Linked DNA regions of Rhinolophus ferrumequinum. The protein of the gene in region 1 interacts with the protein of each later gene in a pairwise test. Links are inferred from orthologs where the notes say so. Each region holds a gene or a part of one and is shown on either strand. Other genes may lie near its edges.

Region 1 (7,521 bases):
TTTTTCATCAAATTAGCAAACAAAACCAGTGTCAGTGCTATTGGGTCCAACTCAGCTAACAATGCCCCTTTTGAGCATGACCTCTCTGCCTGGATGTTGCTCTTTTCATCTGCTGCACAGAATTGTTTGTTCCATTCTTTACCTCTACACCCTCTTCAATTGCTGTTTGATTTTCTCTCACTCCTTTGTCTTACATCACTTCTGCTCTGCGCCTTACCTCTTTAAGACTCCTAGGAGATTCATAGGATCAGTCAACAGGGCTCCAGGGTTAGGAAGAACCACCCTGCCTAGCACAGTGCTAGTTCAGGGCCATGCCTCGCCTTGAGTACATGCCCCACCTGGAACAACCACCCCAAAGAAAACCCCACTCAACTCCATTTTAGTCTTGCAATACCTATGCGAGTCCTAGTTACTTATTGCTCCGCTTTCTGAAAGAAAACCAAGGGCAGGGACTAGACGTCTGGCCATGGTGGGTTCTATCTGGTTCTTACCATGTCATTTTCTCTCCTTAGTCTTAGATAGCGACTCCCATAATTTCCCCCAAGGAGTCCCTACAAGACCTGGCTACTGCTTCACTTCTACACCTCATCTCTCTCCAGTCTTCTGACCTCACATACTATCGCTACCCTGCAGGCCTTCACACATGCTGCTCCGTCTGCAACACACCCCTCCTGCTCCTGTAGCTGGCTAATTCCTACCCAATCTTTAAGGCCTCAGCTTAGAAGTCAGCCCCTTAAGGAAGTCTTCCTTGGTTTCTTGATCCAGGTTAGGCCCTTCATAGGGGTTCCCATAGCATCCTGGGTATCCCCCGCTCAATCCCCAGCTTTCACCTGGAATTATTTTTTAACTGTGTGGTTTGCCAAAAGGTATGCCTAAAGGTAAAGATTCTGTCGTTTTATTTACTTCTGTGTCCCTTGTGCTTAGCATATAGTTGGTACTCAATAAATATCAGCTTTGGGTGGAGGAATGCAACTAAGCAGGGCATCCCAGGACGTTTCCCCAGGTTGCTACCACTTTCACCCCCTTTTGTCCCACCTGTAGTAAGGTATGTAATATGACAAACATTTCTATTCATTATCAAAGTTTCCTTGAGGAGAGCACTGTGTTTGTTTAGAAGAAATATGTAGTTAGCAGTTAATATGCTTAAGAACGTGGATCTTGAGAATAGATTTCCTGGTTTTGAATCATGGCTCTGCCACTTAATGGCTGGAAATCTTTGGGAAAATTACTTATCTTCTCTAGGCCTGTTCCTCCACATAAAATGGAGGTGAAAATAATGGTACCTACCTTAGAGTGTTGTTGTGAGGATTATATGAACACACATAAAAGACTTAAGAATTACTGGCACATATACAGATTTAGTGCTAGCAACTATTATTACTATTATTAAACTATTAGGGGTAGGGGGTGAGCTGAAGGGAATCAAAGCTGATCCCCAAATTCTGCTTGTCAAGAGAGTGGACCTGTTCACCCTGGGCTTTCTGTTTTGTATGATGTTTGGGGAAAGTTGCTGAAGCCAAGTTGATTTACTGCTAATTAAGGAGGCGATAACTTTGACATTGGCAGGGGAGGGAGGTAAGATTCACTTATACATTCAATAAATATTTACTGAATATCTATTGTGTGCTAGACATAAAGGACAATAAGATAGATGCAGCTATTACAGCGCTCTCGCCAAATCAAAAAAGGAGGCAGAAGCTAGAGAGGTTGGGTACTGATGGGGGCAAAGGGGGAGGAGAGGCCAGTTTCTCTTGAGTGGGTGTGGCACAACAGAAGAGGATCTTGAGAGAACAGAAATGCTAAGGCAGAATTTTCAAGCATCTGCTACAGGATGTGTCATGTAAATCCTGCCTCCATCCCTACAAAATCTTCAATAAAGTTTTCATTGCTCACTAGAGTGAGCCTGAAGAAGGGGAAGATAGCAGCTATCTGGGTTATAGCTGTCGGGGGAAAGATACTATAAACAAAAAAAAGAGCCTTCTTTATTCTTGTGTGCTACCAGTAAGGAAGCATTGCAGTGCATGCAATATTTAATGATTATAAATGATACCCCAATGCACTGCATAATACAGGCTCTTTAAAATGAATATGAATTAAACAGTATCAATAGCAACCATATTAACCAAAGAGAAGGCATTATTCGAGGTAGGAAACTTGGAATCCAAGGGAAAAGGGGCCATTATTGACTGAAGTTGGGAGTCAGATATGACTACCAATCAGCTCCTTTGTGGTTAATTAGTCAAACTGGTGATTCCTCAACAATTCTAACTTGTTATTTTATAAACCATTGCTTATAATGATGCAGACTTTCTTAAACATAAATTTTCTAAGGTTTAGGTGTGGGGAAGGGGTTCATTGTGTGCTTATTGCTCCCATCCTTTTTTGACCTCTAGTTTTTCACTTTGATGTTATTACCATCTTTTAAAATACATTTCTTTGAATATATATGTATATATATACATATATATGTATGTGTGTGTGTGTGTGTGTGTGTGTATAAAGGCAGCAGCTTAAGAAGAAATCAGTCCTCAATCTAAATAAAACAAAACTATCAATTTGCCTGAATTTCCAAGAGTGAAATAAATAAAGCTCTGTTGGAATTTACCTACATAAATTGCGACTTTGGGGGGAAGAGAGAAATAAACTAGTGTTTTCCCCCCTTAGATTTATTTACTGTATAAACCCTGGGGTTTCTACATCTTATAATGTGACTACTGATTAAAAAGATATGTGGTTGTTTATTAATGTTCTCAAAGCACCATGCAAATTCTCATCACCTTGGTTGTATTTTGCCCCCAAAGCTATGAAGTAAATACGGAAGCATTTTGTAGTTAACAAGGCTAAAATATGTTAATTCAAATAGTTGGCTTTGAGTAGAATTTTACTTTATATCATTAATAGAAAAATGAAGAGAGCTTGGGTAGTCAAGCATGAAATATAAATAGAGTAGTTTTCTTTTTTAGGCCTTATCATCTGATGTTAAAATTTAAATTTGGTACCATAGAAACTGACCTTACAATTTGCATCATCATGAAACAATGCAGCTTATACCCCAGATTTTTTGACAGTAGTACTGTAACTGTGATTTTTATGTACCATTTTCAAATGAAAAAGTCTGTGAAAAAATTAGATATTTTGAATTGGGTAGAGTCAGAAAAAGAGCTTGACTGTCTTTTTATCTATGGGACCATGTTTTAAATAAAAAATTAAGATAGAGGGTGTTAGAGCAAAGCAGAGACAAACTTAGATCTCTCCAAATGGGTGACATTCATGACGAGCCAAATAATACAGGAAGGACATACTCTTGCCCTCTTAATGGGAAATATATTTCTTTAAAGCAGAAAAAAGACTTTACAAACCTCTTTTTCAGCTTCCCAGTATCTAACAGGCCTCAGAATGGCAGCCATTTCCTATTCTCAGGTAGCTGGTGAGAAATGCATAGTTCAGCTGCAACCAGAGGCTCAGGAAAATTAAGGTGGACACAGGGCTATAGCTTCTACCATTCTGCTGCCAGAAAGAGAATTTCAGAGAAAAGGCAATTTAAAATGCACTTGTTTTAGCCAGGTATTAACCATAAGTACCTCCTCAACTATGACTCATGCTATGATTATAAGCTTTCAACTTAGGTGTGAGTGACCCATTTTTTCTTTTCTGGAGCCTAAAAAACCCCCAAAATATCAAAAACAAACCTCAGGGTGTCACAAATTTCTATCAAACAAGAAAATTAAGTGATTTAGTAGCCCTGGGAAACTATGAAGTTTGTGCCAGCTTTTCAGTTGTCCCAAGATTTGGGTTGCTTTACAGTGATAACAAAATTCATGGCAAAGTTAAGCAATGATTCAAGCTCACGTTAAAATATCCCAAGTCTACTTTACTTGAAAGCATTCTAAGTATGCTTTACTTTGGAAGGCATCAACAACAGCAACACACCATCTTCTAGAAATGCATTCCTGTACCAACAAGTTTCTTAAGAAATGGGAATTACCATAAGGACACATCCTTGAGCACCTATAACAGGGCATTGAGCTCTTGAGAATATTCTGGAAGCATCGCTGTGAACCGCATTTTGATGATGATGGCTGCGCCTGCACACTTTTTCCTTTGCAGGGGAGAGAAATAAAATTTAGCAGAAGCCCCAGCTTTTGGAAGGAGAAACACGGTTTGCCTCTTAGAATGCTTTTCTACTGTAATGGGTTTGCTGAGAGGTTCGTTCCACTGTAGCTTTAAATCTGTGGACCACTGAATATCGTTCTGCCTTTTTTGAAGTTAAAAAATACCTTGTCTGTGGGGTGGCGGGAATAGAAACTTTGGAAAACTAAATGCCTAAGACTTCAGATAATCCAGATGACATATATGCAATAACGTTCCATGAAGAATTTATTCAACCCAAACCCTTGCGTCTAATGAACCAATGCACAGAAACTCCAAATTTTGCACCCTCCAAAAGGGAGGGAAAATGCAAAGGTCTTGCTGCAGCTCCCGGGACGTACTGAGAGCTGTTTTGTTACAATTGTATCCAAATGTCCTCAGCACCAGAGACTTCTGGGGCGCTGCTCTTCCCTGCTCCACTTGCTCTGCAGCTCCCAGAGGAGGCGGTAGGTGCTAAGAAGGCAGACCTTGCCAAGCTGGCCGACAAGATGCTGCGGACCCCGAAGTGCTCGCGGTGCCGGAACCATGGTTTCCTGGTGCCAGTCAAGGGCCATGCTGGCAAGTGTCGCTGGAAGCAGTGCACCTGCGAGAAGTGCTACCTGATCACTGAACGCCAGAAGATCATGGCCGCGCAGAAGATGCTCAAGAAGCAGGCCTCTGAGGAAGAGCATGAGTTAGCCTCCGGGGCCACGGCTGTTGCCTCGGCCTCCAGCTTCCACCCGCTGCCTCAGCTTGCAGCTTCTGGAGACGCGGAGCCAGCGGGCCCCGAGGGCCGCGCGGCCACCTACGTGCTGGAGAGACCACCGCGGGGCCCGAGCCCCGGCCCAAGCGCCTTCCAGCCAGTTCTGGGCGGCCGCGGCCACATGGGGCCCAGCGAACGAGCTGCTGTGGCTGTGCCCAGTCTTGTGGGGCCCCAGCTCGGGGTGGAGGCCGCAGGCAGGGGAGGCCCCGGCCGCCTGGAGTTGCGCAGGCCCATGCGTCCCGTGCCCAGTCCGCCGTTCGCCGACTTCGGTAAGATTCCTAGGCCCCGTGCGGCCTTGTCCCCAGGGTCAGTTCCTTTCCGGGCTGCAGCCTCCGTGCAGGCCGCGCTGGCGTCCTAGGCCAGCCTGGATCCCGCTGCCTGGGATGGGCCCTAGGGGTGGGGGTGGGGAAAATGCTTTCCATAGGTAACCTTGCTTTGAGAAACCTTTACTGAATAATACAAAATTGGGTTGAGCGCCTTTTTTGCAAAAAGGTAAAAAGAGCGATAGAAGGGAGTGGGTGGTCCAGACAGCTTTTAACATTTAGCTACAATTTTTGCCTTTCCATCTTGCAATAGAAAATGGCCCCCAGTCGCCTTAGCTGTGGCTCCTTTTCATGGGGGATATTGGCTCCACTGCGCTTGCGTACCTCTTCCCGCCCTTTTCTTTGACTGGAGGCTCCTCCCCCGGAACGTTGTCCCCCACACACCCTACAACGATTACTGATCCTGTGTACTCTTTCTTCCCTTTCCACAGGCTAGAGGCTTCTCCCAGAGGACCTCCTTTCCATTGTCCCAACCCGCTTGCGCGTCCTTTCCCGCTCTTTTCTTGGGCTGGAGGCTCCTCTCCTAGGACTTACTTCCGGATGAGCGCTCTCAACTATGACTGCGCCTGCGCACCCACCTTTCTACCTTCTGGAGGCCCCGCCCTTACCCGTGCCCTGGCTCATTGCGCCTGCGCACCCCTTTTGGTACCCTATCCCGCCCTTTTCCTACGAGTGGGTGGGAACGGGACAGCGTCTCTGCTCCACGCAGGAAGAGAAAGTTGGTTCATTGAGATGTTGACTCTTTTTTTCTCCTTTGCCACCATGTTCGTTAAAATACAACTCCCAAGTCATGTGTAGATTTGAGGCTTTTAAACAACAGCTCTTTTTGAGTGCAGACGTATGTTGATTTTCCCCTATGGCATGTGGTAAAAAGACCACAAGTCTGAGTCAGTAGCTGGGGACTACTCACCCTGTCACCTTAAGCAAGCTCCTTCCTTCTGTGGCAGTCTCTTCTCTCTTATGCTAAGGGGATTGGCCTGGATGCTCTCTGGAGGCCATTTCTGCCTTATGGGACATTCTTGGAAAATCTAGGTCCCTAGGGAACTAGATGGGGAAGGCAGACCTGAAACAGCAATCCTAGGAGGATGTTTCCATGGACATAGTGCCTTTCTTTGTTCCATCTCTCAGCAAACAGACTGAGCACTTAGTTATAATACGGTGTTTCCCAGAAAATAAGACCTAGCCGGACAGTCAGCTCTAATGCATCTTATGGAGCAAAAATTAATATAAGACCTGGTCTTATTTTACTAAAATATAAGACCAGGTATATAATATAATATAATAAATATAATATTAATATAATATAATAATATAATATGAGCTGGTCTTATATTAATTTTTGCTCCAAAAGACACATTAGAACTGATTGTCTGGTTAGGTCTTATTTTGGGGGAAACACGGTATGTGCCAGTGATGAAGTGGTGAGGGGGGGAAAAGTCAGATTCCTTGCTCTCAAGGATCTTGTCCTTGTGGGAGGGACATTACTGATCAAAGAATTACACAAATCAGTGTATAGAGCTCTAATAATTAATGGTTTAGCTGTGGTATAAAAGAAGAAGAGTAGGAGCCTAGTAATGAGGACTTAAAGAGGCAAAGTGGATTTAGGGGAGAAAGCCTTCCAAGCCGAGGGAACAGCAATTGCAAAGGCCTTGAGGTGGGTGAGAAAGAAGAAACTGCTATGTTAAGTACTGGAGGAGTCTGGAGTGGAGGCAGGAACCAGCCTGCATGGGGCTTCATGGCTGTGCCAAGGACTTTTTCTAAGAGCAGTATGATATGGTAGAAAGGTTTAAAAAGCAGGGAGGGTCAAAAGCATAATGGATTTGGGAGTTCTTTGTAAATGGATCTGTGTTTACTATACTGCTGTCGCTGGACAGTAATGTGATGCTCTTTTTCCTAGCTCTTTGTGTTTTTAACACTTCCTCATTGCTTACCTTTTCAGGGTTCTCTCTGAGCATCAACTCGGATTGTGCAGTGGGGTCTGAGTACCTGGAGAGAGAGCCTTCCAAGTTGTACCCCGGTTGCTCCAGCATGCACACTTACCACCCGTTCCCGCTGGGCTACCAGGATGCATCCCCGACCCCGGGGATCCCCCTGCAGTGGGGCTTTCGGCATGTGTCCTGCAGCCACTACCATGGAGGAGGCTTGGTGAGTGCCATCCTGACTTCTTTCTGGGTTTCTCCTTATTCCATTTGCTCTTGCTGCTTTTACATATCCTCAGTCCCAGGAAACCAGTTGATGGGCGCAGTGTGTACCAGGCCCATTGACCTTGTACAGTGTGCGCCTCTGGGAGTACACATGTGTAGACAA
Region 2 (7,835 bases), on another chromosome or scaffold:
GGTCACATAGTAAAGCAATAAATCAAACCCAGCTCTGGCATCAAGCACACATTTATATCACTCTACCATTGTATGATGATGTTTATGAAGGAAATAAAGGGGTGGATGGGGCTTTTAAAATCCGAGTCAGATTATTATTATTTTTCTATATGGAATGTAATAGTTCCATTTTGAGAATTTCAAGGAAATGATAGCATGTATAAAAAAAGGAGATAAATTTAAAATTTAGATAATTTATTTGTGAAGGAATATACACATGTATCAATCAATATCTTGTATTCAAATAATGTTCAAACAATTTAAAAAGTATATAGTGCAATAAGTTAAATAATTTAAACAATACATGACATTGAGGTGCGAGATCCTCTACAAAGTTATATAAAAAAAATCTACTGAATTTCTCTACTACCTTCATAACATTAAAAATCTCTAAACATTATGCTCCCCTAGACACTCAAGTCACTTCAGAGATTTTGTTTCAGGCCAGGCCACCTCCTTCCAGATCCTTTTGTTCAACTGCACCTGGGCCCACTCAGAGGCAAACAAATTATTCAAAACGCAGATAGGTGAGAGGTTATACTCAATGAATTATTTATTGAGCATCTGCTAGTTATCTCATTGCTAGGTTCTTGGCAGAGACAAAGAAGAGAGGACCATGGTCTCTAATGAAGATAGGAATGCATGGTGGAAATTGACCAAGTTGTCCCCTCCCTTCAGAAGCCTCTCTGGGCATCAGATGAAAGATCTGACAACCATTAATGTAGCAGCTCTGATCATCCATCCAGAAGGTAACGATTTGAACTGATGTACCGAGCTCACACATGCCCATGAACTATGCTTATTGCCTTGAAAGCCTCAGCAACCATGAACAAATTGCTCATTGCCAGCCTTCATGGTCGCTCACCTGGTTTCCACTTCCTACACCATATTTGGGATCTTTTAAAAAGAATAATTTTCAGACCTACAGACTCACAATATATCCAAAATGGCAGACAAAATGAATGTCTGCCTTCAAGGTAAACACATTAACCAGCACTGCTGTTGAAAGTCACCGTTGGAGAGTGGTGTGCAGCGCCTCCGTATTCAGAGCTTCCTTTGCAGTCCTGATCCACTTTCGTTATATGTGGCTAATGATAAAACTGCTAACCCATTGCCTTGGCAACACATCCATTTGCTAAAAAAGGAAATAAAACCTGAGGTTTATTTTAAAGTTTCTATCTGCCAGGTCTCTTACACTAATTTAGGAAATACTTTATTTTTTTTAACAGCAATAGATAATAGCGTACAAATAGTAACAGGAAATATTTGATGAGAGAAGACACTCACGAAAATGGTAGAGTTTATTTTTTAAATATAAATCAAAGAGTTTTGGTGCCATTAATGTTCTTTACTGTTCTCCATTAAAATATTATATCTGCCCTAAAATTTATACTATATTTAATCTTCTAGTACCTTCCTCAATTGTTTGCATGTTGAAATTTCCCATATTGGAATTTATATATGGTCAGAGGAAATAAAATTAGTCTCAGGAAGCCCTAACTATAGATTTGAAAACTATAAAAGATTAGTGCTTTAGAGCTATAGTGTGTAAATCAGATAAAAATGCAAGCATAACAATCAAGAATTTCTGAATCCTTATTGTGAGTTCCCAGCAGAAGGAACTGTAGCCTCATAATTTGGTTATCTGTTATTTACATTCTACTTCTACATTCCTGTGGTTCTACTATTTTTTTCTTTTATCAGATTCTGTTGGTAAATTAAAACAAAAGGAAGAGATTTTCAAAACTGGGCCTAACCATTTAAAAGTAGCAGATTGTAGTACAGCCAAACACCACAAAAGTATTCACAGCATTTTATTTCTTCAATTTGTTGGCTAGAAGCTACCTTTATCAGTTCTCTCAGGGCTTGCTCACCATTTAGGAAGTCGACTAGGCAGCTTTCCCAGGAAACATGGCAGGGCCTGCACTCTGTTGGAATAGAAGCACATCTAGACTATGTTTTGGGGCACAATGCCAAAGTCTGCATACTTCTTCACCCTGTAATTAACTAATGCTATTACAATAGGATTCTCACCTCCAAGGGTACCCTTTTAATGAGTTTATGTTTATCTTCCTTTCAAAGGAATTGTTCTCCTGAATCATTGAATTCTGCAAGTACTCAAAAATTATCTCAGTTTAGTTTGTTTTTGTATTTACAGGGAAAACTACATAGCTGAGTTGTAGAATATCTAGAATATATAATGATATCTACCTGACTTTTTAAAAGATGATAAGTTACCAAAAGTGTGAAGACTTAAATAATTATTATTCACAGTGGTTGAGCACTCATTATATACTGTGCAATATATTAAGTGCTTTTATGCATCATTCATTCATTCAACATATACCTATTTTCTACTATGTGTACTATTTTAGAACCAGGAGAACAGCAATAAATAAAACAGAATCCCTCCTTTTATGGAGCTTATGCTCCAGTAGGGAAACAATCAACAATTAAATAAGTAAAGCATAAAGCATGTGTAATGAAAATAAGTGCTATGGAGAAAAATTAAGCAGAGACAGGAGATAGTGACTGTGTGTGTGTGTGTGTGTGTGTGTGTCCATAAGTATCTATTGAAATACGTTGAGATGAGCAGAGACCTGCGGGAGGTAAGAAAATCCAAAATTGGATCTCAGGGGAAAGTTTGTTAAAGAGCATTGAACAATTATTTTGTTGAGTATTTCTTATAACCACTTACCATTTAATCCTCACAGAAGCACCTCATGGTAGGTACTTTTGTTGCTCCCATTTTACAGGTTGTTGCTCCCATTTTACAAGAGAATTGAGGCTTAAAAATATAAACAAACTTGCTTAAAGCCACACTACTTATAAAGGGCAAGCTAAGATTTAACCCTGATCTGCCTCACTCACAAACTATGCTTTTACCATCTACCTCCTGTCAAATCACCCAACTACCCAATAACAAGATTTCTACATGCTCAATATTGGTACCTACCTAATAGGATAATCAATTAAAACATCACAATTAAAAAGAAAAAAAAATCAATTTCAGAGTAAAAAAGTAAATGAAGTTTGACTCAATCCAATAAACAAATGAGAAAAATGCCTCTCCACTCTCCTAAAGAGGAATTTAGATGAGGCAGAGCAGACCTTGTAAATCATGGCTCTCCAGGCACAAAAAACAAAGGGTGCCCTAGCTGACCCAGTGGGGGCTGGTATGGAAATCATCTTTCAAAGCAGCACTCTCAGGGCTGACAAAGAGGAGAGGGAGAGATGAAGAAGGAGGAAACAGGAACAGAGTTTGTTGTTGGACATCTCTATCAGTACTTCCCCTTCTGTTCACCCCTCTCTTTTCAATTGAATCTGAGCATCAGGGTTGGATGTTTTCACCTGGCTACCTAATCGAGCTCTTCACAAAGTATGATCTACCTCAAGACTGGTCCTGCTGGAATGGGACGAATTGCTTCCAAGACTGACAATCCACTATATTAATCCACTTAATCCAATATATTAAGTACTATATTCCATAAGGACTTGGCCATGTGGCTGGCCAAGAGAGAAAGGATAGCAGAACTATCACCTCTTCCTTGTCCAGGGATGGGGCCCCTTGATTTCCTCTTTGTTCCCTGGAAGCTCATTGACCTGTGCATTAAGTGTGTGCATAAAGAAAGAAGGGTTTGCCTAGGAAAATGGGGTAGCAGAAAGCTGTGTTCTCCACCACTCCAGACCTGAATAAGTGGAGTTTTGCAGTAATTGAGTGATTAAAGGAAAGTGAACATACAAACCAGAGTAATCAAAAGGAAGATTATCTTCCTTAATACCAGGGACAGATGTTTTTCTTTCTGCCTCTCAAGTCGAGGAAAATCAGGACAAGTGGCTTATGTTGTAAATTTTAAGGTCAAGGGTCCTTTCTATTGAGCGTAGCTCTTAAGTTCTCAGTAGTCAATTACAAGTGAAACATAATTGACAGCGCGATAAATATAAGTTGTGGAAGATGCGATTGAAAGTCAGAAGCCCCTTCCCTAGGTCCCCTACAGCTATCATAACCAGGACTTAGTCAAACCCGTTAGCAGGACTATTAAAAAGTATCACCTATTCACAGTGCTCTTCCCTAGCACCTCTTACTGGAGTTTCTCTACGTGGGTGTGTTTGTAAGAGAGGAGTCGGTGAGCATAGAGAGTACTGGGTACAAAGTGTATTTGTAAGAGGAAACAAACTCTCAATGAGGAAGAACATATGTTTCTGAGACTACATCTGTGCAAAATACATAGTCCCTGAAGTTGTACCAAGAAGAAAAAAAAAAAAACTACCGTATTTTAAAAAGTCTTATTTCACATATGTCATCTTCTTGGCATATTTCCCTTTACTGCTTTTTCCGCCTGACCAAATAGTCCCTTCTCACCCTCAGGTCCAGGAGAATCACGAAATGTTTCGAACAGTCTGACAGAGCCTGACTAACCAGATATATTACTCACTCGGGGATCCCAGAGGCAAACCTCAGCCTAGGAAGATTAAGTTGACTCTTCAGGGCGCACCTGCCCAGAGGGCGGCCCCTCCGCAATCAAACGGAAATCACACAATCTCCGAGGGCTGGGCAGAGGCCGAGCAAGGCAACTAAAGTTGGGCGCCGCCCTGGCAGGCAGTATCCTGGGTGACTCCAGAGGGTGCTCGACCCGGGCTGACCGCGCCTTCCCCACTTACCCGGGGGCGGGTCCAACTGGCCAGGTATCTGCGCTGGCGGCGGCCGGCTCCGCCCCCGCTCCCAGGCATAGTGCGCCTGCTTGGCTGCAGCCGCGCCTCCTTCCCCGGGGAGGCTGGACTCCGGGGCTCGGTTGGCCGCGCTCCCCTGGGCTCAAGCCTCTCACCCGCGCGGGGGGCGGGGCCGCAGGCGGGGCCGGGACGGTGGGGCGGGGCGGGGATCGCACCAGTGCCCCCGGCTCCGCCGCAGCTTTTCCTGCAGGTCTCGCGGCTGGCAAGCGGCTCGGTCGCCTTCTCCGGTCCCATGGCAGCCCCCGGTTCCCCCGCTGAGTGCGGCTACATCCGGACGGTCCTGGGCCAGCAGATTCTGGGGCAGCTGGACAGCTCCAGCCTGGCTCTGCCCTCCGAGGCCAAGCTGAAGCTGGCGGGGAGCAGCGGCCGCAGCGGCCAGGCGGCCAAGAGCCTGCGGATCCAAGAGCAGGTGCAACAGACCCTGGCCCGGAAGGGCCGCAGTTTCTTGGCCAACGGTGAGTGGAGCCCCGCCTCCCCCCTGCACCACCTCGATCCTACCCCTTACTCCTTCGCTACCCCTCCCTCACCCGCAGAGCCCCGTGGCTTCGGTTCGCTGCTTCCTGTGGGTGCCGGACCTGGTGTTCAGCCCACCTGTTGCTCGTCGTCCCTTTGTATGAGCCGCCGCGCCTCCGGACTCAGACCCGCTTACTTGGGGAAAGCACTTTTCTAAAATAACCTCTTACTCAGCTCTGTCATATATGTATCCGTGTATGTTAAATGTACGTATATATCTAAGTGAAAGAATTCAGTCCAAGATTTTCACCCCTTCCTAAACTTGCTCTCTTCGGCCCCCTTGTCGCGTCCCCCACTGGCCCCTCTTACAGGGGTCTTAATCTGGAGACTCCGGGAATGTGTCAACACTTTGAAATTTTATGCAGAAATTCGGTATGAACATTTTTCTAGATGAAAACTCCCCTACCTTTTATTAGATTTTTTTAAGAGTCTGTGACCCCAATAAATATTTTGGAAAAAAAAAAACAACCTGAAAGTACTGGCCCTCCTACGAACTGTATATTGGGATTGCGATGCCTCGCCCAGGTACTTCGCGGCGTTCCACACCGTGTACCGAGCGAGCGGTTGATCTAGGAAGTGAAAAAATTGGGTAGGAGGCTTTGGGCCTGGGAACAGTCACACCACCCCGCCGAGGAAGAGGGAAAGGAGGAAGGGTATTTTGGCCCCGCCGGCTGCAATATCCCCTCCGCGAAGCTGCGCCCGCGGTCGCACTCGTGGGCACAGCGCTGGTCTCTCCAAAAAATTAAACTTGGAGTGAAAGAGGTTTTAAGAAAAAGGGGGTCTAAAAACACACTATATCAGTAATGGATAGCCAGGGGAGGTGGAAGGGGAAGATGGAAAATCAGTGCTGAAAATTAGAAAACATGATATGTCATTTTCTCCCCTGCTGAGTCAGATGATCAGAGCCACACCGTGCCTTTTATTAATTTATTTTTTCATTACAAAAGTATGATAGGCTTTTTATAGAAAAGAGAAGAGGAAAGAAATTGAACAATTAATTTAGTTGGGATATCAGTTTGTTGAACTGTTTGTCTAGGAAGTTGAACTGTAGGAAGTAATTGGACAACAGCATATGGAGAACCCATGAGGAAAAAGAAAAAAAGACCAGATTAGAGTTTGAAAACAGCAGACCTGGGAGGGAGGCTTTATTGTTTTCAACTTGTGTAAAAGAATCCTAAAGGATCAGGCAGTCAATGTTTATATACTTGAAAAGTAAAGAGATGTTTAATGATTATAGTTAATTAATGTAATTGAGTGCCTACTGTGTGCCAAGAATTGTGGTTTGCGTTCATTGTTATTTATGTTTCCAAAAACACTTGTGAGGTAAGTCTTTTTATCCCCATTTTACAGATGAGGAAGCAGTTATGTAACATTCAAGTTCCCACATATAGTAAGGAGCAGAATTGATATTTAAAGTCCCAAGCCTGAATTTTTAAACCACCCATCAGTTATTGTATATTGTTAAGCTTCTTCGTTATTAGTACAAAGTAGGATTTTTATTGGACCCTACGCCTCTTTATGGCCCCATCCTGTTTTCCTCTAAATAAAATTGAGGTGGTTCTGAGCGAGTGGGAGGTCTAGATAACACAGAACTACCACAATGCATGGAAAAAAAGGAATCCATATTTACTGTTTAGGAGTCTGATGACTCCAGAACAAGTGTGGCTACTTTTTCACCAGTGGAGTCATTCCACCTCTTTACTCTGTGCAGGCCGGTGCTAAACTGAAACCAAACTAGATTCTGCTGGGGGATGCAAGGAATGCACATTAGATATTCTTTCTTAACCCCTGAGAATGGCTAGCTAGAAACAGCAACCAGCCATTCATTCAACAGCAACTTGAATGAACCAGTTCTTTCAACAGCAACTTGAATGAACAGAAGGAAAGGGAGTATTGCTGAGCATCTATTATGCACCTAACACTGTTCAAGAATATGTTTGCATTTCGTTATGTCCTTAAAACAATTACATGAGATAGATACAAAGATCCATTTCACACATGAAGAATGTGTTGGTCTCTCAACATTTATTGGACACTTAGTCCCAAACCTTCACGGGATTTATCCTCTCTATAATATGGTGAATTCATGTTGCTTGGTGAGTTCAAGGACTATCAAATGAGTCGGTGTGTGCAGGGCACTGCAGGTGCTGAATTAAACATAGACTGCTTGCTTTAAAGCAAGAAGTTTAATGTCTGAAGAAGGAAGCCTCCCTCTAAAAGACCCATTATCAAACACAAACTGACAAGCGACCCAAAAGAACAGCTAACACATTGTGGCGTTTAAGTGGATGAGTTAGACCACTAGCTGAAGAGAATTTTGAAAAGCTTCTTGGAGAAATTGGGATTTTAGATCCCCCAAATCTAATAGGATGGGACATAGGGAAGTGGTTGGAGGAAGACCGTTCTAGGAGGGAATAACAGGAATATTTCATGGTTCACAGAATTGATATGGCAGAGTACAGGGCATTGTCATGGTGCTTCTGCTCAAATGTTTAGGGCAACTGGTTGAGTGGCTCTTCCAACTAAAGAACAAAGTGCTTGAAATATTTTGA
Region 3 (7,664 bases), on another chromosome or scaffold:
GTTGTACCAGCACTGGCAACTTTGTTGATCTTGGTAACTTACTGTTTTCTAATCTGAGCTTGGAAAGTTTCAGTAATCTTTGCTGGGTAATGAATCAGACTTTGTTTAAAGCATTCCTGACTATTGGTTTTGCACAATCAATAGTTTTTATTGGTAAGCCATTAAGCCCAGAGCAGGGTGTTGTGCTAGGTGCTGCTGAAGACCAGAGATATTGCAGTTTGTGAACTTGGATTCTGAAGGCAGGCTGCCTAACTTCAAATCCTGGCTCTGCCACTTACTGGCTGGGTAATTTGGGGCAGATTATTTGACCTCGCTGTTCCTCAATTTCCTGATTTATAAAACAAAAATAATAATAGAAACTATCTCAAAGTGTTGTTTGATGATTAAATGAGTTAATACAAGTAAAGGGCTTAGAACAATTGCTAGCCTTTTCTAAGTACTAATCGCTACTACTAAGATAAATTGTAAAAAGTTTCATTTTAATGGGAGTGGTAGATATATGAGTTATCCATAAAAATAACAAATTGACCCCAGAGGAAACAATATTGACTAGAAATTAGAGCTGGGTGCTGTATCCTAGTTCTATTGTTGCTTTGATACATCCTACATCTTGTCTGATAAATGCATATATCAGACTTGCTGTAGTGTCTCACAGCTTGATAAGGAGAACTGAATGAAATAATGCATGCTTTCTACATGAAGTCTTCCCAACATTTTTAGCCAAAATTAATTGCTCCTTCTTGGACACTCACTCCCTATGCTGTTGATTTGTATTTTTATCATGATACTTATCGCACTAAGTCTTGTACTATAGTTGTTTATGTGCTTCTTTCTCCAACTAGATAAGATCTCGGTGTCGGAGACACTGTCTTACTCACTTTTAAAAAATCATCTAGCATTATGATTTGAGCATAGTAGACATGTAATAACTATTTATTAAAAAGGGGCTCTGAAAACTGTAGCTTGCCAAATAAACAGATTATTATTATTGTTATTATTATTCCTATTATAACTACTACTATATGTGACTTTACAGGGCATAATTACATGGGTTGATGGCAGGGATTTGAGTAATAGAGTTGGGTGGGGTCAAAAGGGAGCAACCCAAACAAGGATTATAGGCATACCCTGGAGATATTTGGGGTTCATTTTAGAACCATAACAATAAAGCAAGTCCTAACCTTCTTGCTGCTGGTGGTGGAGGTGGTGGTGCTGGTGGTGGAGGTGGTGGTGTTGGTGGTGGTGGTGGTGGTGGTGGTGTTCTAGCCTTCAATTTGTAAAAGATGCAACATCTGTAAGTGCAACAAAGTGAAGCACAAAACATGAGGTATACCTATATGTACATAAATTCCGGTTTGATGCATTTTTGTTTTCTCTCTGCATTATCTCCTTACGTGAAAATGCACACATTAGATGCAGCACATATTTTTCTAGCTTTTAATTGGGTGAGATGTGAAATAATCAATTACTATGGGGTTTGCAAAAAGTCTTATAATCCTACTGGGTTGTTACCATATGATAAATGGAGTTTATGAAAATAAACAATTGGATTCTTCTCTAAATTTCAGCTAGAGTTTGGGGATTTACTTATTTATTCATTTATTCTTTAAAAACCTATTTCATGTTTCTTTGCTGTGCTAGACACTGTGCACAGGGCAGTGGAGACCCACAGTATTCAAGTCTATTCTGAGTGGATAAACAGAACTCTCTATTCAGAGGCAAAAACAAACAAACAAAAAAGCAAACAGTGTAGTCCAGATGAATCAACTTGAAAACATAGTCAGGGATCTTGGATCTTAGCTTAACACCTAGATGATTTTTTTTTTTTTTTGCAGTAATTGGATCTATCAATTTGAATGAATGTAGGGCTCATATTAGGGTATGTCCACTGCGCTGATTGAAAATCTACATTTCAAACATACGGGCCTTACTCTTAGAGGAATTTTACTCTAAAACAAAGGTATATAAGGAAAGGAGTGGTTGGACCACTAGGAACTGTGCTGAGAACTACTGTTATTTTCATGACTGAACTTGGGCAAGTAAACTAACCTTGTTCCTAGATTTCCTTGGAAAATTAGATTTAAAAATTGAAGAAGAAACTATGCTGCTTTTGCAATTCTGTGGCTGGATGAATTTGATGTCTATAGATACTATTAGAGGTATATGTGAAAAATACAAATGAAATAAGTTTACTTTCTCTCTTAAAAGTCACCCCAATAAACTTTAATTTTAAAAAAGTCACTAGAATGGCCACATTTCTGAGGTGCACTGGCGAAATACACTTTTATTTATCTGTTTTGAATGTGTAGTATATGGATATTTCTCATGAGCTTCTGGTGTTTTAAATGTATTTGTAAAGCATAAAGTTTTTGATGAGACATGCACTTTCATTTTTCTTGTCTTTGTAAACCTCTGAAATCACCTTATATATTTCATTTAAAATAAAAAGTACTTTAAAATGGAGCAACTATACATACAATTTCTTTCAAAACACAAAGCTTACAAATTTACATCAAAATAAAAAAAATCAAGACTGCTTAATTAAAACTTTGACACCATCAACCTCTTTAATTATGTGTTAAAGAGACTGGCATCCGGAGGATAGCAACTTAAAATCAGTGTGTGTTTTCAGTGTCTATGGTGTGTGTATACCTATAATTCACAGAAGGGGGAGGGAGTGCTTCAATTGAAAGGAAATACATGATTTAAAATTTTTTAGACATGAGTCATTTCACACTTTTAAAACAGTTTGGAAGAGGGCAAATTTGTCTTTGCAGAAGAATGCAGAATAGAAGTTTAGGCCAGAATGTTTTATCTCTCTTTCATGTCTAAATTTCAATGAATACTTTGTTTTTACGCAACAGATTCTTATGACAAGTGTTACTTAGAGAACACAGTTCTGAAGCTTGACTACTAGTTGCGTGGATGTATTCTACAGCCCATATTGGCTAAATGGGGGAAGAGCAGGCTGTTTATTTCTCTCCTCTAGTGTTTAAATTTTGCAGTAACGTGATTGCTTTTCTTTACATCTTAATTCTTGTTGCCTCTCTAGTCTGCCTATCCCCAATTTCTTTTGCTAATGTGGAACCCAGCAGCTCTTTGTTCTCATTGTGTCTGTCTGTCGTCTCCCTTTCTTTGTGTTGCAGGGATTCTGCTACCCGCATCTGCCACTGAGCATGCGGAAAAAATCCTTCAATAGATTCTTTACTTAGGGCTTTCGGTAGTATTATTCCACTTTTCCAGGTTTTAGTAATAACCAGAATATCCAGAAGAAGGACTGAAACTTGGAAAGGTGATGGGTGATACAGGTGGTTAGGTGGTGGTCTAGCAAGCTGGGACACCTGAGAGGAAGGTTCAGGGTTTATGCAAGCTCTCACTAAGCAAGTTAAATACGGAACAGCCACCCTTCACACAGAAACTAGAGATATAGGTTTACAACTGAGAAGACACAAGTGTTTCTGAATAGGAAGGCACAGAGCCATATCTAAAATCAACCGGTTCAATGTGCGAGCAGTTCCAGAGCCTTGGGGTACATTGTCACGAAGATTGGTGGTATCTAAAGTCCCTGAGCGGGGACTTTCACTAGATAGTTTACCATCTGAAAATGAAAACTAGTTGTATGGACTTTTCTCATAATAAAATCTCACTTTCCTCTGATTGTGTTAAACACTCAAAATGCTAAGTCAATATTAATTGAATGAAACTTGATTCAATTCTTCTTCTTAAAAGCCCTTTCGCTCTCCCCCTCCCCCTTGAAGCAGATTTGTTAATGCTTTCCATAGGATATAAGAAGTAGATTTGAAGGTGAGATTAGGCGTATTGGGGTAGAGTTCTGACCTTAATAGCTTGTATATTATTTAATAGATGGAGCTCTACACAATTTTACTCATGTGTCTTCCATATTTTTGCCTGTTTTGTTCACTGCCTGCATGGCTAGGTCTTAGAATGGTGTTGGGAAGAGTATGGTTCTCAGTCTTTTGTTTAATGACTATCTAGTATGTAAAACACGATCATTTTATTGGGGCAAACATTGGTGGTAAATAGAATAGTTCAAATTAGACTATTTTCAAATAAACTGAAGTTGAACACTTCAGTGGCTCTTCAGCAGCTGGCTACTCTCCCCCTCTTAGTGAGGGGAGGTTTCTTCTTTTTCCTCGGCCTCCCCTCTCCCACCATTTGGTTTCTGTATCACCAATTAGCGGATTAGATAGCATCGTTTCAAAGCTTTTCTGTTCCACCTATTTACTTTTAGGTTCTTACGATAATGTCCCCTAGCCTTTTGGTTTCCTATGGGTTTCACTAGCTAGTGGCTAGCAGATAACGTGGTTAAGCATAACAGTGTTCTTGGAAGGTAGTCAGCCAGAGGGGGCGAGGTGCGCTCCTCTTGGGCTAGCACCTGCAGCTGGGGCATCTTGGTAGAAGCGCTCAGTCCGTACTCTCCGCAGCTGCGGGAGGAAGTGCCCGTGGCGGGACAGCTCAGGCAAGGTCCAATAGTAGGCACCTGGGCTTAGGTGGCGGCGGCGGTGGGGGCCCCGCCCCTTGGGAGCGCCTCCATCCCGCTGGTCCTCCATTCAGGCCCCGCCCCCCCGGCTCCCGCGCCCCGCCCCGCCCCGAGGCCGCGACTAAAACCCGGAGCCGCCGAGGCGCCCAGGGGACCGGAGAGACGCTCTGAGCATGTGCAGAGCAGCTCGGCGGCTGCTGCCTGGGCGGGAGGCTGGAGCCCGGTGCTGATGCGAGCAGCCCACTCGGCCTCAGCCCCAGCGTGGTCGGCCCCCCGGGCCGGGCGGCAGGGAAGGAGCCGTAGCCTCCCCGCGGCCAGAGGAGCCTGCACGAAGGTGCGCAACCCCCGGCGGCTGCGGCGCCCTCCGGGCCCAGGATGATGGCGGAGCAGGTGAAATGCGCCTCGGCGGGGGGCGGCTCCGGAGCGGGCTCCGGGCCGGTGGTGAATGCGGAGCTAGAGGTGAAGAAGCTACAGGAGCTGGTGCGCAAGCTGGAGAAGCAAAACGAGCAGCTGCGGAGCCGGGCGGCCAGCGCGGCCGCCGCCCCGCACCTGCTGCTGCTGCCGCCGCCGCCGCCGCCCGCCGCGCCGCCCCCCGCCGGGGCCTGCAGCCCGTTGGGTCCGCGGAGCCCCCCAGCCACCGCTGCCTCTTCCGGGGGCCTGGGTCTCGGACTGGCGCTGGGCGCCGGGGGCGGAGGCAGTGGCAGCACCAGTCCCGCGTTCCCGGGGACCTACTGCCTGCCCAGCCCGGCGCCCTCCCTGCTCTGCAGCCTGGCGCAGCCCCCCGAGGCGCCCTTCGTCTACTTCAAGCCTGCGACGGGCTTCTTCGGCGCGGGTGGCGGGCCGGAGCCGGGGGTCGTGGGAACGCCGCCCGGGGGAGCCGCCGCGCCACCTTCGCCGCCCCCCACGCTGCTGGATGAGGTGGAGCCGCTGGACCTGGAGAGCGTGGCTGCCTGGCGGGACGAGGACGACTACACCTGGTATGGCCGAGCTCCGCTCCCTGCCCCAGGACCTGGGCTTGGAGGCCCCGAGGACGACGGGGAGGACCTGGGCAGGAAGGGGGGGGCTCCCTCTCCCCTGTGCCCCGGACGCTGTGGCCTAGCAGGTGCCGAGTCGGGCGACGAGTGGAGGAGGCTTTACACGAGGGCGGAAACCTGCTTCTAAAAGCTCAGGCTGACCCGACTGGGGATGAACTGGTCCCCTCCATCTCCTTGTATGCAGCTTTCCGCTGATGGTTGGGTCCCAAGCGCCTCATAGTATTAACTGAAAAATCCATGTTATCTTGTCTTTTTGTTACTCAGTCTTGCTTCCCCGTCCCCCCCGCCCCCAGCATTTTTGGTAGTGACGCGGAATGGGTAGGGGTTGGCCTCAGTCTGCGACTGTTACTCCCAAACGAACGCTGGGCAGGATCTGCGTATTGTCCCTCCCCCTGTGGCATCCCACGCTGACTAGTGATTGATCTCCTCTTAGAGACTCGTTCTTGTAGTTTGAGTTGTGCGGTCGTACGTCCTCATTCCCTCCATTTTCATTAATAGCTTCTCATTTCAGAGACTGACTTGGTTTACTTAAATGTGCTGACCTCACTGGCTTCTTAGTAATGGTATCAAAAATGAGAGCCTTTCAGGGAACGTAGTGGGCAACTTGAAGACACTCTTGCTTGGGAACTAAGGAGCTTTGCTTAATTAATTAAACTGGTGATTGAAGAAAAGTGAGATTAAAGAAACTTTAATTTTCAGAAACTTTAAGTTATCAGAAAACTTGAGGCTGGCAGCATTTATTCAGTTTAAATCAGTTAAGCTCTTTCTACTTTCCATCAATGAGTAACTTTGGAGGAAGGGGTTCTTAATTCCTTTATTTTCCATTTTTCATGCTATTTGCTCATAGAGAAATAATATGCTTTCTTCAGTCTCTAGAGGTACTGGGATATGGTCAGATGTGTGGAAGCTTCAGATAGGGTGGAACTTAGGTTCATATGGGGAAAATGAACAGCACTCACCTCTGCATAGCAGTGGCCTGAAGAATTGAGTTGTACTCCTTTTATCTTGGGTCCCTTTATTTAGGACCCTTCCTATTTTTCCAAGTTGAGTTTTCCTTACTTTGTGTTCCTCTTGCATGATTGCACAAGAGGGAATGGGAAATGGAGAACACTACTGGTTTCCTGTTGGGATCTGTTGTGTTCCTTTTACTTTACACTCTTTTATGTAAGAACTCTGTACAGTATGTTCACTAATTGGTTTGATTCTGAGAATCAAAATGTATGGAGAATATTCATATATAAGGCATTCATGCTCCTCCTTAGTACTTTACTTTTGGGCAGCTGTGCCAGTAGCTCAAGTTGTAAAAAACAAAACAATTCACCTCTTTCTTTAAGCCATTCAAGTTCCATTAAATGGGACTTTAAGCCATTCTTTAAAAGCTACACCTTTATTTTTGTGAAGCTGAGGCTGTATTGTAATCTCAGTGTCAGCCTGAAAATGGTACTGGAAAATGCTCTCATGGTGGCTCTTAGGTTGGTTATCACTAGTAACTATAAACCCTTATGCTCTCATGTTAGTTTAGATTGATTTAGTCCCCATTTGGCCTTTTCTGAAGATATGTGCTAAAATAGTGGAAGGAAACTTGTTTGTATTTTTGATGGAGATCAATTCTATGCTTTAAAATATTAGCGCTTAAAAATTTATACTGTTATTAAGTGTATTAGATTGGTGATAGTATATATAGCTAATATAATCTTAATATTTCTTTTGAATGGGTTTCTACCATAGTTATCCAATGATTGCTTGTACTTGATATCTAGACTTGGCTTTCGTAGTTTTGTTCTTGTTTTTTTAATCAAAATAGTATTGAAACAACTAACTTAAAAAAAAAAATCACCTAGTTAGTAGGATTAGCTTGTTAGCACTTAAGATGGTTTGAAGCAAATCTAAATGGTGGCAGGTTTTACTAATTTTACTCAACTATATAGGTGAATAAATAAATCATTGCCTTGACACTTTACAAGTGTTCCTTCAGACAGATGGACAGTATTTATAGTACTGTGTCTTCTTCAAAACAAACCTAGGATTAGAATCCCAGGTGGAAAAACAGGGAGGGATCATTAATCTTAGTGGAATGGACTTAAAAATTTTTTAAAGGTCACCTGATTTACAGAAAACTTTCTATCATA
Region 4 (7,290 bases), on another chromosome or scaffold:
GCATTAAGAGAGGAATATTTAAACATCTAACAAAAGATGATTAAAATTGGAGATTGATAATGGCAATATTGTAACCAGACGTTCTGATAGTCTTTCCTCCCCACTCTCTAAAAAGGGCAATGATTCACATCATTTAACGAATTTTATTTATATATTTTTTTATTCGATGAATTTTATAATGACACATTAAGCTCCTGTGGTACATTACTGATTAAATATTTCGGGCTGGACCCAAAGATGAGCTCACTTAATATTAAGATTCATGTGATGGTAAGATTCCAGTATATATTTTAGGTTAGAACTACCATTTATATTTTCTCCTTGATATCATTTATTAAGTGTGCAAAAACTTCACAAAAAAAGTATTAATATTTGCTTACTAATAATGTTACCTTGTGTTACTAGAACATATGTATCGAAATTTCCAAGTGTAAACAAGGCATGAGAAAACAGATTTTGAAGCACTGGGGACATACCTTAAGATATTCACTGTATTCATCCTCAAATTTCTTGCCCCAGATACTATTACCTCCTCTTCCGGTACCTATATTACAAGACAAACAGAAGTATCTAATTAAAGTTGAGAAAGGGTTTATTTTCTAAAACTTAAGGGCTGGTTTACAGTGTAACTCTTTGAATACAAATAAAATTTAGTATGTCCTCTCTTACTTCCCAAAATTTCACTTTACAAACCAGAAAAATAAAGTATCTGTAGAAAAAATAAAAATGCTCCTTATTAGTACTATTCATATTTTAGGGCTAGGTGCTAGTAGCTTCAGCTTAAAAATTGCTTGCTATTGTAAGGTAGCCCAGTTATAAAAACTCCACATGCTTTTATTTTCCTACTCTTTGTCTACCCTCTTCTTCTCACTATAGACCCAATTCCCTAGCTATTAATGGAGTAACTTACCTGTAGGATCTCCTGTTTGAACCATGAAACCCTTGATATTCCTATGAAATATACAGCCATTGTAGTAATTACTGGCACAGAGAGCCAAGAAATTCTGAAGAGAGTAAAAACAATGATTGAGAAATCATGTAGCAGAAACAAATTTAAGATATAAAACTAATTGTATTTACTGAAAACACTATAACAGCATATTTAAACTATGTTTTTTAGGCATTACTTTGGATAATGTTGCTTCCCTGACTAAAACACTTTAATGGCTTCCTTCAGTTCTTGAAATAAAATACAAAATCCTCAGCAGGGCCTAATAAGCTCTGCATGAGCTGGTCCAACTCTACATCTTATATGATAATAACCCCATCCCTGTTGCTTACTATGTTAACCCCATCAGTCTCCTGAAAATTCATCCAAAAGAGGTAGGCTTTCCCACTTTGAGGCATTTGTATCTGCTATCTCTATATCTGGAATGTTCTTTTTATATATCTTTCCATGGAGATGCCTTCATTACCTTTCACACTCAGTTTAAGTATCACTTTCTTGGGTAGGCCTGCCCTCACCTTCTTTTAAATAATTCCTTTCCCCATTATCCTCTATCTTAACATTTTATTTCCTTCAAGGCATTATCACCCTCTAGAATTACTTTTTTTTTTTGAGAATGAGCCCTCCCACCCCACCCCACCCTTACTCTGGCCTATTTTCCCACCTAGAATAGTATCTTCACAAGGGCAAGGAATGTTTCTTGTTCATCACTTTATTCCAAGACACTGTCAAGATAGCCTTTTATAAATAATTGTTGAATAAATAAATATATAAAGCTGACTCTTCTTCGTTCTATCCTTGTCATTTAAACAAGTGAGATAATGTAAGGAACAGTTTTCTTACCTGATATTTCATGATTATTTATGTTTCCTGAGGAAAATGAGCCAAAAGAAAAAGATACCAGCCACTCTATGGTTAGAGAAAAATTATCTACACTTTCTTTGATCCACTTTTGACATCAAGAAAGTTTAAGTTGAAATTAGGCCAGAAATTATGATGGCTGGCTTTACCTGACAATGGTTTTATAGAAAAGGTTTTTGGCTATTTATTGTTGGTTATTTTTGAATCGTTCAATTTCAAAATAGTTATCTGCTGCATTAACTCTTTTTTTTTTTTTTTTGGTACATAATGATACTCACTTCACATGTTTTGGGTGTCCTCTCACAGAAGACTTCTATTTTAATATCACCTACATCTGTATGCAGTGTCACCGACTAAAAAGGAGAGAGAATGTGAGAAAAACAGATTTCTTCAGGTGACTTTATGCACTGTATGATTTCTCTAACTAGATATTAAAGATGACAGCCTAAATAAAAACAGATAGAAATACTGTTTCAGAGATGACCTGTCCACATAGAAGCTCTGGGAGATAAGTTATATTTCTTCAAAATTTACTTCTGCAGTAGGAAAAAAACTCCAGAAGATAAATATAAAGTTTAGGGTAAAATAGCACCTATGCTAAAAACTGGGGAGCAAATATTGTGATGGAAATAATTATTTTAAGTTTCAATTTTTCATCAATAAAAACAATTGTAATATTAGTATTATTGATTTAAATGGCATTCACTAACATCACGGACATTTACTGAACAATAGTAAGAAAATGAATTTCAAAATATAGTTTCCACCATTTCCCTTATGTAATTTACTTATGAGATGCAGAGCTAAAAAACAATTTCTTTCTCAACTAAAGACAAGACGTAAAAAGTGTCAGTGTTTCTAGATTGTAAATGTGCAAAGGTAACCATAGTACTCTGCATGCTTGCTTTTTGTTTGTTTTACCTGTTATTTTGGTAGCTTGAATATTCCTTTTGTTACCCCATTCCAGAAAGAAGGAAATGTATTTTGGGGCTTCCTTTTTCATTTCTATTCTTGTTAATAGTATCTAGCATTCAGAAAGTATGCCCAGGTTGAAAATAGAGAGGAGTGTGTGTGCCTGTTGAGAGCACCGGGTGGGGTGGGAGTGGGGCAGGACATTATTTTCATTGTTTTTCACCTACTTATAGCTCTAGCTGCTCGCTCACCTTAGATACAGAGAAAAGCTTCCAATTATAATGATCACACCTAGCTATATCCTTCTGCTCCTCCTACTCACCTTTTTCATCTCTATATCTTGTAGTCAATCTTTTTTCCACAAAATATAAATTGTGTGTTTTAAGTGAAAACAAAAACAATTTAAAAGTAATTTTGCTTACTTCTGGTTTTGTTTAGAATATTTTCAGTGTATGATTCTACAGCTTACCACTTTTCTTTGTCTTCTTATTGAAATTTCCATGCCGTTTTATTTCCCTTGACTAAATTTCTAAAAATTACTTACAATGAAAGATATTCATAAGAATTCTATAAAACTTACCATTTTTCTTACTGTTACTTAATTTCTCACAGTCTTATTGAGAGAAGTTCGAAAACAAATCTCTATTACCAAAAGAAAAAAGAATTAAGTTGATTTGTCTCTCTTACCTCACTCATGCTCACGTTTACTGCATACTTAAAAGTCTCGAAGAGCACCTCCCAAGAAATAAAAATCCGATTATGGAAGTGATGAGGAATTCCGACTCAAGCCCCTCAACCTCCTACTTCCCCTACTCACTGTTCTTCAAGAGCCTCCTTGCAAGTCCTTCAACAAGCCGACTTGGGGCCTAGAAATTGGCTGCTCCCTTCGCCTGGAACGCTTACACTCAGGCATCTATACGGCTATTTTCTTCAGCCTCCAAGTCTGTGCTCAAAAGGCAGGTCTCATTGACTTGATAACTCTATTTAAAAATGCCTTAACCCTAGTACCTGTCCTATTTTCTTTTCTCCATAGCACTTATAACTAATATACCATATACTTCATTAATTTATTAAGTCTGCCGTTTCCCGCCCAGAATGCTCACTCTAAGCAGCCTAAGAACTAAAACACACTGCTCTGCAAGCATTTAAATAAGTTAATGAAAGAATGAGCGCGTTACCCCATACTTACTTAACCACTTCGATTAACACAACTGTAGCTAAAACAGGAAAGATGCAATCGCAGATACCTCCGCCAGGTCTCTAAATTGAAAATTAGTATCTTTCAGCCACCGGAAGTCGAGCGTGGGACACATTCGAGAGAACGCCCCTAATGAGCTTGCCTCCTTCCTCCCCTCTCCTCCCTGTCTCAAACCCAAATGTCTAAAACTAGGGAGACAATGTAACTTACCCCTACCTGAAACACTTTTGACAGTGAAAAGGAGCTCTTTTAATAGTTATATTAGGACGAGACACGTAGCCCGGAACTATTATGGGCAGCAATCCTTGGACTCAGAGGTAAAAATGGGAAGGACCACTTCCTCCTGATTCCCTTGCCTCACTTATTCCCACAGGCCGGAAGTCCCGCACGGGACCGGAAGTGACGCACGAAGAGTGTTCCAGGACTGGTGAGTTTTCAGCGACTTAAATCCCGGCGGACTTAGGTTCTTGTGGCATGAGGCTGTTGTGTGCAAAGTGCAACGACAGGGGTCCAAGAGGTGATAGAGGCAGAAAACTGGCTTGCAGTATGAGAGCGTAGGGCACTAGTGGGGCAGGAGTCCAGATTCAACGAGTTACTGGCTGTGCCAAGGGCTCTTTCTTGTCCTGGGAGAGGCCTGAAGTGGGACGGAAGTGAAGGGTAGATGAGGTAACTTAAGGTGTAGTTTGCAGGCTGTATAGTGGGACTTACTAATGTTACTAAACACGGGTCAAGTATTGTTTCCAGCTTTACGGTTAAATCTTGAGGCAACCCTATGAGCTGGGCATTTATTTCCATTCTTTAGCGGTGGAAACCACAGAGGTTAAGTAACGTTACACAGCGGTAGCTTTGGGAGTCTGTCAGTCTGATTTCAGAGTCGTGCTCTTACCCACCATGCTCTGCCGCCTCCCATTATTAATTGTGGCATCAAGCTACGCAGAGTTGCAGTTTCCTAATCTGTGAAATGGCGACGGGAGAGGGGAGGTGGGTGTCTGTTATTTCCAAGTGCTCTTTCATAAGTAACAGTAGATAACTCAACGGGGGCTGGCCCACTAGAGCTTCACTTTTGCACTTGCCAGATTTAGAAGAGTCTGGAGAATGGAGAACTATCAGGATGTGGAATGTGCAGAGTGGAAGTGGTATTATAAGGACCTGAGAAGATCTTCCAGTACCCCAGGCTTGAGTGGTTAATGGAGGCGCCCCATCACTTCAAATCCTATATTGAAGTACTACTCACATCTCAAATATTTTTGCTGTAGAAATGTTGCCCCAAATCTGCTTTTGAAATCATTGGGTTGTGAATATTAAATTTACAATTGGCTATGCTTTCTTGTTAATTATTGGGCATACAATGAAATGCTTTTCTTAAAAAACAAAAGTGTTTACGGTTATTAATTTAAGAATGGAGTTGACAATGTTATCTTTTGTATTGGATATGGTTGTCTTAGAAGGCTTACAGACTCTGGGCAAAGTGCCCTCCACCTTCACCTCTTGAGCCTGGCCTTCCTGTAGCAGGTGTTGGTTCAGGGGCAGCAGCTCCTGCCCTTTGAGTACTTTTCAATGCCAATATATACCACCCTAACTCCCAAGTTCTGCTGTGATGGGGGAGGGGGATTGTGTACATCTGTACAGTAAGCATCTAGTGCTGGCCTATGTTGGTGATACTGAGACGTATGAAAGATAGTTCCTATGCTCCTGTAGTATTAGCATACTGGGGAGACAAACAGGAATATAATATTATGAGAATACCAGGGCAGAGCGGGGTGGGGCAGGGAGTAGGGAGACACTGAAAAGAAAGGTTTGTCAAAAAAAGCTTTATTTAGGAAGTTGAAAGGAACTTGGAAGATAGGGTAATATTTAGAGAAATGGAGAAGGGAGGAGAGTGGTGGAAGCTAGGGTGGGGAGAACAAGAACAGGGGTGTGGTGGGGGCCGGAGAGGAGGGGATGAACATTTGTGTATTATGTACCAGTCTTGTGCTAGTTGACTTACACATATTAATACATGTGCTCCTCCAGATGGCCTGTGAAGGTTGTAGTATTTCCATTTTGTAGATGAGGAAACAAGTTCAGAGAGGTTACATGACTTACCCAAGATAATATGTGTAGCGCAGGGGATCCTGCCGCCTACGCCAAGTGTCGTGCGGAGCATCCGGCGGGGTCTCTGGTCCCACTACCCACACAAAAACGCAGGATATGGCTAGGCCAAAAAGGAACACCCACGGAGCCATAAGTAGGGGAGTCATATCTCTATACTCTCGCTGGCGGCTGGGTTGGAGAAACAGGAACCAGGAGCCACACAATTCTCAACCCTCACTGCGCCGCTTGCAGGCTCAGCCACCATCTTCTTGCTAGCTCCCCCCTTTTTCTGCTAGCCTAGCCACGGCAGTTATATTCGTGGCCAATGGCTCACTGGTTACAGCTGACGGCCAACTAGCCACAGCTGCTGGCCATTTGATCACAGTCGATGGCCATTTACTACCTGAGCCAGCACCTTTCTATGTGAGGCTGAGAGCCTGGAAACTGCTTTTTGGGGCTCTGTCCCCACAACATGTAAGTGCAGAGCCAGTATTTGAACCTAGGTATGTATGACTGTAGCTCTTTTGCTCATATGCTTTATTGCCTCAAAAGTCTGGGCCTAAAGTGTACATGTGTATCATTTTCTGTTCTGACTTCAGATACTCAGTTTTACCTGATTTCTGTATGTTGTCATCTCGTGTACACCTGGTCCGCACGACAGTTCGGCTAGTTCATTCCCTGATCTGCAATTCTTCCTGTTCCTTCATGGATTTGAAGGCTCTCCTTTCCTCCTTGAATGATTTTGCATCCCTGTCGTTTGCTGAGAGTTGGGACAATGTTGGATTACTGGTGGAACCAAGCCCGCCACATACTGTAAACACACTCTTTCTGACCAATGACTTGACCGAGGAAGTGATGGAGGAAGCTCTGCAAAAGAAGGCTGATCTCATTCTCTCCTACCATCCACCTATTTTCCAACCTATGAAGCGCATAACCTGGAAAACCTGGAAGGAGCGCCTGGTGATTCGGGCTCTGGAGAACAGAGTCGCTATTTACTCACCTCACACAGCCTATGACGCTGCACCCCAGGGAGTCAACAGCTGGTTGGCTAAAGGGCTTGGTCAGAAGCCTCTTCTTTTATGTTTAATATTTTCCTTATACATGCTTTGAAATTTTAGAATGTCTTTCTAATAGAGTTTTAACTGCTTTAGGGGTGGGACCATTCTATTTTTACATAATATATTTAAAAATAATGTTGCTAAAATCTGGCAATTAAATTGCATTTGAAAAATAAAATTTTTATGATTAATGAGTAAGGAAAGCATAGGGAATCTTCGTTGCTGGACTGAGCTTTGTGATT

The links.
Region 2: the proteins of DMRTB1 (region 1) and PKP2 interact in a two-hybrid assay, tested with the Homo sapiens proteins (2 studies listed by BioGRID). The link is inferred for Rhinolophus ferrumequinum from reciprocal best matches to the Homo sapiens genes DMRTB1 and PKP2.
Region 3: the proteins of DMRTB1 (region 1) and SLAIN1 interact in a two-hybrid assay, tested with the Homo sapiens proteins (2 studies listed by BioGRID). The link is inferred for Rhinolophus ferrumequinum from reciprocal best matches to the Homo sapiens genes DMRTB1 and SLAIN1.
Region 4: the proteins of DMRTB1 (region 1) and NIF3L1 interact in a two-hybrid assay, tested with the Homo sapiens proteins (2 studies listed by BioGRID and IntAct). The two-hybrid records come from large-scale screens. The link is inferred for Rhinolophus ferrumequinum from reciprocal best matches to the Homo sapiens genes DMRTB1 and NIF3L1.

What each region holds. Positions count from the first base shown.
Region 1 is NC_046292.1:38,263,519-38,271,039, forward strand, and holds the start of DMRTB1 (doublesex- and mab-3-related transcription factor B1), read left to right. Parts: upstream 1-4,520; coding exon 4,521-5,160; intron 5,161-7,153; coding exon 7,154-7,359; intron 7,360-7,521.
Region 2 is NC_046293.1:41,680,718-41,688,552, reverse strand, and holds the start of PKP2 (plakophilin-2), read left to right. Parts: upstream 1-4,834; 5' UTR 4,835-5,002; coding exon 5,003-5,225; intron 5,226-7,835. UniProt on the Homo sapiens protein: A component of desmosome cell-cell junctions which are required for positive regulation of cellular adhesion.
Region 3 is NC_046287.1:28,440,506-28,448,169, forward strand, and holds the start of SLAIN1 (SLAIN motif-containing protein 1), read left to right. Parts: upstream 1-4,650; 5' UTR 4,651-4,876; coding exon 4,877-5,478; intron 5,479-7,664. UniProt on the Homo sapiens protein: Microtubule plus-end tracking protein that might be involved in the regulation of cytoplasmic microtubule dynamics, microtubule organization and microtubule elongation.
Region 4 is NC_046291.1:30,355,903-30,363,192, reverse strand, and holds the start of NIF3L1 (NIF3-like protein 1), read left to right. Parts: upstream 1-4,278; 5' UTR 4,279-4,344; intron 4,345-4,993; exon of another isoform or gene 4,994-5,140; intron 5,141-6,367; exon of another isoform or gene 6,368-6,493; intron 6,494-6,589; 5' UTR 6,590-6,614; coding exon 6,615-7,050; intron 7,051-7,290. Other genes in the region: PPIL3 (peptidyl-prolyl cis-trans isomerase-like 3), read right to left, coding at 477-544, 911-1,004, 2,086-2,160, 3,407-3,415. UniProt on the Homo sapiens protein: May function as a transcriptional corepressor through its interaction with COPS2, negatively regulating the expression of genes involved in neuronal differentiation.